Linked DNA regions of Neurospora crassa OR74A. The protein of the gene in region 1 purifies or fractionates together with the protein of each later gene. This does not show direct contact. Links are inferred from orthologs where the notes say so. Each region holds a gene or a part of one and is shown in the gene's direction. Other genes may lie near its edges. The genes, in order: hsp78, NCU00395 and acp-1.

Evidence for each region.
Region 2: the proteins of hsp78 (region 1) and NCU00395 purify together in Saccharomyces cerevisiae (affinity purification with mass spectrometry, with the first as the bait; 3 studies listed by BioGRID). This does not show direct contact. The link is inferred for Neurospora crassa OR74A from reciprocal best matches to the Saccharomyces cerevisiae genes HSP78 and MSS51.
Region 3: the proteins of hsp78 (region 1) and acp-1 purify together in Saccharomyces cerevisiae (affinity purification with mass spectrometry; 3 studies listed by BioGRID, with this or other methods). This does not show direct contact. The link is inferred for Neurospora crassa OR74A from reciprocal best matches to the Saccharomyces cerevisiae genes HSP78 and ACP1.

The regions. Positions count from the first base shown.
Region 1 is NC_026501.1:2,990,264-2,993,863, reverse strand, and holds the start of hsp78 (heat shock protein 78), read left to right. Parts: upstream 1-845; 5' UTR 846-1,019; coding exon 1,020-3,452; 3' UTR 3,453-3,600. UniProt on the Saccharomyces cerevisiae protein: Required, in concert with mitochondrial Hsp70 (SSC1), for the dissociation, resolubilization and refolding of aggregates of damaged proteins in the mitochondrial matrix after heat stress.
Region 2 is NC_026503.1:3,705,797-3,709,620, reverse strand, and holds NCU00395 (mRNA processing protein), read left to right. Parts: upstream 1-1,345; 5' UTR 1,346-1,478; coding exon 1,479-3,022; intron 3,023-3,093; coding exon 3,094-3,133; 3' UTR 3,134-3,333; downstream 3,334-3,824. Other genes in the region: NCU00396 (pre-mRNA-splicing factor rse-1), read right to left, coding at 1-407, 598-841. UniProt on the Saccharomyces cerevisiae protein: Has a dual role in the assembly of cytochrome oxidase subunit 1 (COX1). It has a regulative function on COX1 synthesis, acting as a translational activator specific for the COX1 mRNA, and it also binds to newly synthesized COX1 protein.
Region 3 is NC_026506.1:4,098,982-4,102,805, forward strand, and holds acp-1 (acp-1), read left to right. Parts: upstream 1-1,043; 5' UTR 1,044-1,379; coding exon 1,380-1,589; intron 1,590-2,181; coding exon 2,182-2,199; intron 2,200-2,417; coding exon 2,418-2,498; intron 2,499-2,653; coding exon 2,654-2,749; 3' UTR 2,750-3,213; downstream 3,214-3,824. Other genes in the region: nuo21.3c (NADH-quinone oxidoreductase chain I), read left to right, coding at 1-273, 380-456. UniProt on the Saccharomyces cerevisiae protein: Carrier of the growing fatty acid chain in fatty acid biosynthesis. May be involved in the synthesis of very-long-chain fatty acids.

The DNA.
Region 1 (3,600 bases):
GGTGCACACATTCTACATGCCCCTACGTCCAAAAGTTACTAGCATTAAGCCCTTGAACAGTTAAGAAATATTCAATAAACTATTGCTAAGCAAACACGATATAATCTATCAACTGTTGAAACCAGCAACCTTCTCGGACCACCTTGATACTCCCACCCGCCCATAACGCACCGGACAATCGGTAATGGTGACGAGGAAAGACTACACTAGGCTCCGTAGGGTTGCCAAATTCCAACTTCAGATGGGCTGCTCCATTGGACAAGCACTCGGCATGCGCAAAGATACAACAACTACGATTCATGAGTTAGCTCAAGAGCTGCGAAAAAGAAGCAATATTCCAAGTTGAATGAGATGCCAAAAGGGTCAGAGTCGCATAAATGCTGGTTTCGTCGTCATCTGCAGAGGTCTTAAGTCTGCTTGGTAACACGGACCAATTCGATCATCACGGGATGGGCGTGGGAGTACCGGTAACGGAGGAGTAGGGAAGGAGAATATCAAACAAGGTGCTAGAACTTACACTAATGACAGACACCGACGCGGCGTACTTCTGGCATTGCCAGCTTTTAGCAATTTGGAGCCATTCTCTCTGATGTCTCCCACAATGGCGCTGTTCAAACGCGGCGGTTGCACACGAAGAACCAAAACGGGGAGAATTTCACACAGCGAAAAATTTCCTGGCCATTAAATACAGACAGTGCACAGACCAGGCACAGGAACCCACCGAACTGACCGAAGACTCCATCGTGAAGACGGGACCTACATGGAAGCTCCGATAAGATAAGGAGCTAAGTACTGCCCTGTATGTAGGTAGGTACCTAAGCTCTCCCCCAGCTTCACGGCGTCAGTGCCACTGGAAGTTGCGAGAGCTTTCGACCTCCATCCATGTCAACGGTCAGTGGCACTACGTCAGGCCATATAAACCAGAGACATACCCTTCGTTTCAAAGTACTCTATAATGATTCAAGTTGGATTTTAGACTAGTCGTTCCCCTGAAATAAAACACGTACTCAAGTCTCAAAATGCAAACAAGGCGCCAATTGCTATCAACTGCCACTCGGCGCATCAGTGAGGCGTCGAGGGCCTCTCTCTCGCGAACCACCCGCCAGTTTCCCCGGGCACCGGCGCTGGGCGTAACCGTACCGGCACTCAATGCCACTCATCTAGCCAGCTCTCTTCGTCTTCTTCCCACAATAGCGACTCGATCGTATGCCAACGGCAGACCACGCCCCCCAGGCGGTACCCATCGCATGAACCTCGGGGGTGAGGACGAGAAACCAGCATTGGAACAATACGGTATCGACTTAACAGCAAAAGCACGAGAGGGAAAGCTCGATCCGGTCATCGGCAGAGCGGCGGAAATCCAGAGAACCATCCAAATCCTGTCACGGAGAACGAAGAACAACCCGGTGCTCATTGGATGCGCCGGTGTCGGCAAGACAGCCATTCTTGAAGGCCTTGCGCTGGAGATTGTGAAGGGCGCGGTGCCTGAAAGTATCAAGAACAGGAGAGTCATCAGTCTCGATCTCGGATCTCTTATTGCAGGAGCCAAGTTTAGGGGTGATTTTGAGGAGCGGCTGAAGAAGGTCCTGGGCGAAGTGCAAGAAGCCAACGGAGAGGTTATCCTGTTCATCGATGAGCTCCATACTCTCCTTGGCCTCGGAAAGGCCGAAGGCTCCATTGATGCGTCGAACCTCTTGAAGCCAGCTCTTTCTAGAGGTGAGCTTCAGTGCTGTGGTGCAACCACCATGACTGAATACCGTCAGATCGAGAAGGATGTTGCTCTCGCTCGCCGGTTCCAGCCCATCATCGTCAGCGAGCCGACAGTGGAGGATACCATTAGTATTCTGCGCGGTATCAAGGAGAAGTATGAAGTTCACCATGGCGTCCGTATCACTGACGGAGCACTGGTTGCTGCCGCTACCTATTCCAACCGTTACATCACCGACCGTTTCCTTCCCGATAAGGCCATCGACTTGATGGACGAAGCCGCCAGCTCGCTTCGCCTACAGCAAGAAAGCAAGCCCGACGATATCCAGCGCTTGGACCAGAAGATCATGACCATTCAGATTGAGCTGGAAAGTTTACGAAAGGAGAAGGACGTTGCCAGCGTCGAGCGCCGCGAGAAGCTCGAGGCTGACCTGAAGAAGTATCAAGATGAAGTCGCCGTACTGACGGAAAGGTGGCTGAAGGAAAAGGCCGAAATCGACAGCATCAAGCAAACCCAGGCAGAGCTCGACAGAGCCCGCATTGAGTTGGAGCAAGCACAGCGAACCGGAAACTTTGCCAGGGCCTCGGAATTGAGATTTGGCGTCATTCCAAACCTGGAAAAGAAGCTACCCAAGGACGGCGAAAGACCTACCCGTGATCTCTCTCTCATCCATGACTCGGTCACCGCTGACGACATTGCCAACGTCGTCTCCAGGATCACTGGCATTCCCATCTCCAAGTTGTCCAGCGGCCACACGGAGAGACTGATTCACATGGAAGACATCCTCCGCGAGTCTGTCCGCGGTCAAGACGAGGCCCTGAAGGCGGTTGCCGACGCAGTGCGAATGCAAAGAGCCGGCTTGAGCGGCGAGAACCGCCCACTGGCCTCCTTTTTCTTCCTCGGACCCACCGGCGTCGGCAAGACAGAGCTGTGCAAGAAGCTCGCAGGCTTCCTCTTCTCGACCGAGACCGCCGTTGTTCGCTTTGACATGAGCGAGTTCCAAGAAAAGCACACCATCTCGCGCCTGATCGGTGCTCCCTCCGGCTACGTCGGCTACGAAGACGCCGGCCAGCTGACCGAGGCCGTCCGCCGCAAGCCCTACGCCGTCATCCTTCTCGACGAGTTCGAAAAGGCGCACAGAGACATCTCGGCCCTGCTCCTTCAGGTCCTCGATGAGGGCTACCTGACCGACGCCCAGGGCCACAAGGTTGACTTCAAGAACACCATCATCGTGCTCACCTCCAACCTCGGTGCCGACATCCTGGTTGGAGCCAACCCCATGGTCCCCTACAAGGAGACGGAAGACGGTGACATCCACCCAGACGTCAAGCAGGCCGTCATGGACGTCGTCGCATCCCAGTACCCGCCCGAGTTCCTTAACCGCATCGACTCCTTTATCATCTTCAAGCGTCTCGCTATGGAGGCGCTCAGGGACATTGTTGACATCCGCCTGAAGGAGCTCCAGGAGCGACTCAACGATCGCCGCATCACCCTCGACGTTCCCGAAGAGGTCCGCCAGTGGCTGGCTGAGAGGGGATATGATCCCAAGTTTGGCGCGAGGCCGCTCAACAGGCTCATCACCACCGAGATTGGAAATGGGCTTGCGGATAAGATCATTCGTGGACAGATCAAGTCGGGCGATAAGGCGGTGGTGGAAATCAAGGAGGACAGGAGCGGACTGAATGTCTACGCGGAGCAGCAGGAGCAGCCTCCGGCTGCCGAGGAGGCTGAGGCTGAGGCTTAGACTGCTCTTGAGGCATGAAGTGGCCCGCTGCTGCTAATCTGATCCCAGGTTGATGGCGAGCAGTTGTATCTTTATTGTATCTCTCATTTGTTACTGGTTCTCCTCTTATGTTACATTGCATAGTTTATGGTTCGGGAAACAGGACGTT
Region 2 (3,824 bases), on another chromosome or scaffold:
GTAATATACCAGCTGTGTCTCGACTTCTTCTCGTGCTTGGCCCGTAGGATCTTGGTCCGCGTCCGTGTAGTCCAGTTCCAACGCAGCGAAAACGGGGTTTGCGTAACCAACGTCAAGGGCAACAAGAGACAGCACCAACACGCCTGGCTTGTGGGCTTCCAGTGGTGACGAGATGGTAAGCTCGGCCTGTGAGTTTCGGTTGAGAACATAGACCAGCTTGTTCTTTTCGAGTGCCGAAATGAGGCATGCTCTTCCCTTTGGATCTGCGGCTAAGTACTGGCCGGGGATGACTCGGCGGACGCCCGATTTGCCGAAAGTCTCGAGGTGGATGCGCTGAAACTTGTTCGTCTTGGGGAGATACTCGATAATCGTAATGCGGCCCGAATCAGTGGCGAGGATAATGTAGTCTGGGTGGCACAGGGTTTTAGCACAATCCCGCTACCGATTTGAATGAGTCTCTCAAGTCCCCAGAAGACTCGTAGGCCTGGGTGCATGGTGCGTGACCATACGTGTGGCCCCTCTACCCAGAAGCACCTGGGGAACGGATCCAGAATCACTATATTGCCCAACACAGGAGGTGGCGGGGAGGTTACTCACCCTTGTGGCTGCCGGCCAGACGGAACGACGCGATGGCGCGTACGATGCCGAAGATGTCATGAGACAACAGGGTGTTGACCTTGCCCTGACGGGGATCAGGCTGAAGGAGGGTTAGACGCGATCCAGACGCCGTAAGAATCTGCTGTTCCTTGGTTCCCGAGAACTGACCAAGCAGAGCCTGCGTGACAGCGGTGGGTGGCTGGATGGTCAAGGAATACAGGAACATGTTCGACGTAGTCGCCATGGCTGCAACTGGGCGCAGACAGCCGGCGCGGCTCTGCTTTCTCGAGGTTGTTTTTGCAAGTGGGTAGGACTCGGTTGTGCTCTGTCAATGCTGCCGTCGTTATGTTGAGAAGACCAATGCGCGAAAGTCAGCCAGATTGTCGAAAATCTAGAGTTGAATATCGAGTAGATGATTGTAACACGGCAAAAAAAAATGAAACACGGTCCAGTGTTCTGGCACTCTGGCGAGGTAGATGGAGTCGGTTGCCGTCGATGGTATTTCTGGCCAATTGGTGCAGTCCAGTCACTCAGGTTGCAGCGGTACGTCGGACTCGGTCCACGGTAGGTCGTAGACGCCGCCCACTCATCTTCCCGCCTCGCGACTGTGGCTTGCTCGTAGCTCTCTGACCCGCATACGTAACGTCAGACGGAGCTTACCTAGGCACAATTGTGGCTGGTGAAGCAAGAACAAAGTGGGTCATTCGATGGACGGGACCCGCCTAGGCACTTAGGCACAGTAGAGGTAGGTAGCGAGTCGGGTCGGTGGGAGAGGACCCCGGATTGCTGGGAGCTGCTGCCAAAAAGTCAATTGGAAAGTCGCATCGAGTCCCGGCGATCCAGATTCCCGATCGAACATCATCCGACCTCTTGAACTCCCAATGGCCCTCCCAGCAGACCGCGCCGTGCGTCCGGCCTTGTCCAAGCTTTGCTCGCAATGCTCGACTTTCACAGCTAGACAGAGCAGGCAAAGTGCTGCGTTTTTGCAGTCAGCCCAGCAACGCTCCGTCAGCTCCATCCGAGGGGCACAGAGCTCTTCCTCGTCTTCGACGCAAGTCGGCGGCATCACCAGAACCATTTCGCGTCCGATCCAGGCTTCGATCACAAGCAAGCTTCCTTCCGTTGCTGCCCAGTCCAGAACCAAGGCCAGCAGCTCGACATCGTTTGCCACCAACGAGGATCTGGCCGGTAGTGGTATCCCCTCGAAGCCGATTCTCGAGCAGGACAACCTCTTCCACTCCTTCACCAACTCGCCCATCCCCAAGATCCGCCAGCGCGCGGCCTTCATAAGACAGCACGCCAGCTGCCCCCACCATAGCCACCGCCCAGGGCAGTTCTCCGAGACCAACCGCCAAGTCGATACCGAGTCTGGCTCCCAGCCGCCGAAGCACGTCGATTTCGAGTGCCCTGACTGTGGCATCCCGGTATATTGCAGCGAGCAGCATTGGATGGACGACTATGAGAAACATCTCGAGATATGCGACACTCTGCGGCAGATCAATGAAGATGACCATGACCTCCATTCAGGCCGCCACTTCTACGAGTTCAACTACGCCGGTCCGCAAATGGATGATGCCATGGTCAACATGACCAACTGGGACACGTTCATGTATACCCGTCAGTTCGAAGCTGTCAACGATGACCGGTGCATGAGACAGGCGACTAGGTTGTTGACCTATCCTCTCACGATCGGCAGCGTTCTTCACGAGTTGAGCCCGTACCACATCCGGAATCGCCTCACGGTCGAGGGCTTAAAGAGTTTGACGGCACTTCGCTATACCCTGCATCCTCCCAAAACTGGAGGCAACGAGTCTATCAAGGGTCTTCGGCCTGAGGCGCCCCCCGTGCGTGTCTTTATTCTCGGTGCTCGCGCTGAGTCGTCGCTGCCTAGAGATGCTTGGGTGCAGTTGGCCCATCTCTTCCCCCTGTCGAGACTCCATCTGATTTTCATCGGACCCGAGAGCATGATGAACCGCGATGACGAATTTCCCCTCCCGCCTCGTACTCCCGAGAATCCTTACGGTGCGGTTGTGGAGGATCGCGTATGGCCTACCATGAAGATCAGCACCATTGTGGATTATTACCATACTATCCACAAGACGGGTTATTTCGCTCCTCACGATCCTTACTTCGACTGCTTCGTCCTCTTCCACCCTGGTTTGGGCCACCCGGCAAGCTCCCACGAATGGGAGGAAACGCTGCCTATGCTTCTCGAGACCAAAGCTCCTATCATTGCTACGGGCTACACGCAGGCTGACATGGAGCGTGATGTCGAGTGGGTCAACAAGAAGGCCAAGGGTGAATTCGACATTCTCATGGAGCCTGGCGAGAACATCTTCCGCAGTCTCCGGTGGGATCTGAATGATCTTGACCCTCAGGACGTCAGTGCCGGTAACTGGGGTGTGTGGGCCTTCCGCGGAAAGAGGTTGGTGCTCTCTTGATTTTTTTCCCCCGCACAACTAGATACGGTTCGAGAGCTAACAGAGTTTGTTTTAGGTACGAGGCTACCGTCAAAGACAACGTCATTGCTGTATAGATGAGCCATGCGTATGCTGGTCGTTGCATCCTGTAAGATGTAGTAGGTGTTGGCAACCGGGCTGTTAGGAGCCCAGACTGTATAATAGGAATATCGAACAAACGCATTGTCACGACCATATCGGCTTTTTACACTTCAAGACTTTGTGGTATCTTTTCCGTTTCTAACGGTACGGGCTGGATGTTACGGATGTCGGATCCAAGGTGTGTGTTCAAAATCTTTTGGACTGCACAGTCTGATAATCTCGTAGTTGTGGGCCTAGGGAGGCACTGATCTGCAACGGTCAGGCTCGGGCCGCATGCAGCAAGTGCCTTGTGTCACGGCAGTCTGCTGTGGCAAGGGTGATGACAGCTTGAGCCTCATCGACGACAGACGGTTTTTTTTTTTCAAGCACTTTTTGTCCGTCTCACGCAACACCTTGCACCGCGCAGTAAATTTCGGTCAACGTTTGTCAAGCGAAGTGCAACGATAACAAACTTCAGGCGTGGAGATTCCTAACCTGCCAGCAGCAGTGTGTATCCTTGGTAAGAAACGAAAACTACCCACATGCTGGAAGATGACTCGCACCGACTTGACTAGAGTTAAAGGAATTTAAAAGCGGTCGAGGATGCGGTGCCGCCTTAGCTGCGTAAGTCAAAGGTGTGTGCTTTGTTGACATTCATTCAGGGGAAGCTCGACGACTTCAAGGGGT
Region 3 (3,824 bases), on another chromosome or scaffold:
TCCGCGGCGAGCACGCCCTTCGTCGTTACCCGTCGGGCGAAGAACGCTGCATCGCCTGCAAGCTCTGCGAGGCCGTCTGCCCTGCTCAGGCCATCACCATCGAAGCTGAAGAGCGTGCCGATGGAAGCAGAAGGACGACCCGCTACGATATCGACATGACCAAGTGCATTTACTGCGGATTCTGCCAGGAGAGCTGTCCCGTGGATGCGATTGTGGAGAGTCCCAATGCGGAGTACGCAACGGAGACGAGGGAGGAGTTGTTGTATAACAAGGGTGAGTTCTTTTCTGGGGGATGCCGTGATAACCTGGTGCTGGCTGGAGATAGGTTCTTGCTGTCGGGGGGCCAGGAAAATATGACATGTGCTGACAACAGATACAGAAAAGCTACTCTCTAACGGAGACAAGTGGGAGCCTGAGCTTGCGGCTGCTATTCGCGCCGATTCACCTTACAGATAAAGGGGTTGTGGCTTGAAGACCGGATAACAGGACGGACAATGAAGACAGAGATTCTTTTTTTCGTTGTTGCTATGCTAGAGTTTCGGAACCAGCAGTTTCGGACGGGTTGCGGTATCAACAGGACGCACCATTGTGTTATAGAAGGCAGGCAGGCAGGCAGGCGGACAGGCAAAAGAAGGCTGTAGATACATTTGTGAATTGCGTCCCTCATCCAACTTCTTGTCTTTTTGAAAGTCATCTCGCCAGGGAAGATCCTATATGCGGCCAAAGGGACGCATCAAGAAACCTAAAGATGCTTGAAAGGCTGAATGTACAATTAGTGTACGGTACCATCTGTAAGATACAAGCTGTATCGTGATGAACTCCATCCCATCGTATCCATCAACCGGGATTACCCGTCTAACAGACGAGTGGAGTGATCCTGCCCGTGGGGTGTTAGTGGAGTATCTGCTTGACACATTTCTCCGCAGTGTACAAGACGGTACCTGAGCGACCTGCACGTGACTCGGCTGACGAGTAGCAGAACGAGCTGAAGCTTCCATGGCTGCAGTTGCGGGGGAGCATCGAGGTTGTACGTACCAAGGTACCTCCACACGCTGAAGCTCCAGAGTCAGAGGCGGGTTTGTTAGCTTCGTTGGCCGCCGCCGCCCGCAGTTGCCCGCACCCGCTTCCCGCGCCCCCGGCGTACCATAGGCAGTAGGCGAGAAATTTATCATCATCATCGCTGATTCCAGCCAACCACCGCCCAGAAATCCGCTTCCAGCCAGAGAAACCCGCAACAACCTCGTCCGAGAACCACCGAGTAGTAGCGTCACACTCATTTTCGGCCACAGCCTTTCCTGTCACCACCACCGACCCTCAAACACCCGACCGACCCGCGCAATTGACACTTTCCGCGACAGCCCACCCAAACAAAACAAAAAATGTTCCGCACCGCCGCCCTCACTGCCGCCCGCGTGGCCCGTCCCGCCGTCGCCTCCGCCGTCCGCGCTGGTGTTGCCCGTCCTGCTTTTGTCCAGGCCGTCCCCAAGGTCGCTGCCTTCCAGGCTGTCCGGTTTTACAGCGCCGGTGGTCATCTCAAGAAGGATGAGGTCTTTAGCAGGATTGCGCAGGTGTTGAGTGGATTTGACAAGGTGCGTTTTACATCACAAGAGACCTACCCGACACGACATGCATACAAACTTCGAGCAGGAGGATGAGGAGGAGGAGCAGAAGAAAGGAAGGAGATAAGAAAGAGGTGTGAAGAGGCAGAGGGATACGAGTGGTCTAGGGACATACGCTACGCGAAGACAAGAGGAGAGAGCGTGCGGGGGAGCATCATCATCGCAAGCAAACCAGCCGGACAACAGAACACAAACGGAGGAAGACCAAAAAGATGCGAAGAGCATATCAAGGCTGCGCAGACGCGACAAAACGAGATGGAATACGATGAAGAGCACTGCGTGCTCCACACGCTGCGCCATGGTCGGATTTATCGGGAACTTGGGAGCTCTTCGAATGGGTCTGCCCTGCCGGCTGGGCTGGTTCTGCTCCGATGATGATGCTCTCCCCTCGCTTTTTTGCCCTCCTCCTCTTGCTATCTTGCTGGTCAACTTCTTGTCTCTTGCTCTTCTTTCTTCCTTACCTCGGCTGGATCTCCCCTCTCCTCCAGCCTCTTCTTCAGAAGCCACAACAGTCCCGTGTTCGCAACCTTTTTCCAGGCCCAAGCTAACATCTACTTTCCAGGTCAACGACCCCAAGAACGTAAGTACAGACGCAAACACCAACATTTCCTCCTCACCGTCACGGAGACGAACTATGATGTGATTTTTGGTCATGATGGGTCAATCCCAGTGCCCTGGTGCTCCCGGCCTGACAGTCTGGAAGGAGAGACGAGACGGGCAAACCGCAAGAATAGATGCAATGGAACGAGACCAAAGATACAGGGATGAGAGATTCTGACACAAGTTTGCGCATCACAGATCACCGAGACCGCCCACTTCGCCAACGACCTCGGTCTTGACAGCTTGGACACCGTTGAGGTTGTTATGGCTATTGAGGAGGTATGTTGCTCCCTTTTTTTTTCTTTTTATTCCGGGCCCTTGTCATATTCCCTTTTCGGCCCAAGCTCAGCCTCTTATCACAATCACCCTTCAACCCAAACACAGTCATAGCACATGGACGCCAAACACGATGCTAACAAACCTACCCGCAACAGGAGTTCTCCATCGAGATCCCCGACAAGGACGCCGACCAGATCCACTCGGTCGACAAGGCCGTCGAGTACATCCTCAGCCAGCCCGATGCCAACTAAAAAAAGTCCTCTGTTTCGTTCCTTGTTCGAGCGTTTTAGAAACCCCACTACTTGCGCAAATATAAAGCATACTTCTTCTCCCTACCTACCCACCTTACCTTTTCACCTCTATCTTTATCCTTAACTAGGTCGATTCGAAACATATCTTTGTCATTGTTTGGGATTCGATTCGATCTGTGTACCATACGAAAACTTAGAACCTGAATGAAAGAAGAGATGACGAATGGAATGGAGCATCGTGATGGGTACGGGCTAGATGTGAATTGTGGGCAGGTCGGACTTGGTCTTGATGTTGTTATCATTGTCAGAGTGGTTAGTCTGGGTTGGTCAACGCGGCGACACGTTGCAATGTTTGGTGGTCACTAAAGTGGTATTGTGGCAGGCTCAATATAGCGTTGGTGTCAACTCTTGTGCTGTTGCGTTGTGTTTTGTTTGTCGCCTATATCCGTACCTACACACTACTTACATACCCCCCCCCCCCCCCTTTCAGGTAAAGAGAACAATCATGACTGGAGCGCACTCAACTTGAAGGCCTGGGTTTATATGTCTTCCTGTCTGATCACTGCTCAGTTCAACAAACACAGACCAGTACCTGAATCGAGCGAAGTTGGCGAACCAGGAGAAACCATCTGACTGGGTATCTAGATGTATCTACCTTTAAACTGAATAGATACGTGGTATTTCTCAAGAGAAAATGTCAACTTTGTTGCGTGACCAAGTGAAGAAGATGTGACCGACGAGAGATCCTTGATACTACGACGGAGTATGTCTGGTCCTTTAAATGTCCCACTTCAATATTTAGATCGCGGCATGAAGATACCTACCTTAAGGTATGCATGTATTCACCACCACCTCAGAAACTTGCCCTCAAGATCACGTAAAGCCAGAATTGTTCGGTACCTACCTCAAGCTAAAACTGGGCTCCGTACCAACCGATATTCTTTCCTTTATTTTCCTCTTCGTCTTGTTTTCTTTCTATCTTTTATTTTTTATATATTTTACAAATTTTTTTTTTAATTCTTTTTTTCTCTCTCTTTGTTTAGGAGGCATTGATTCGTTCATTCACTCCTGGGAA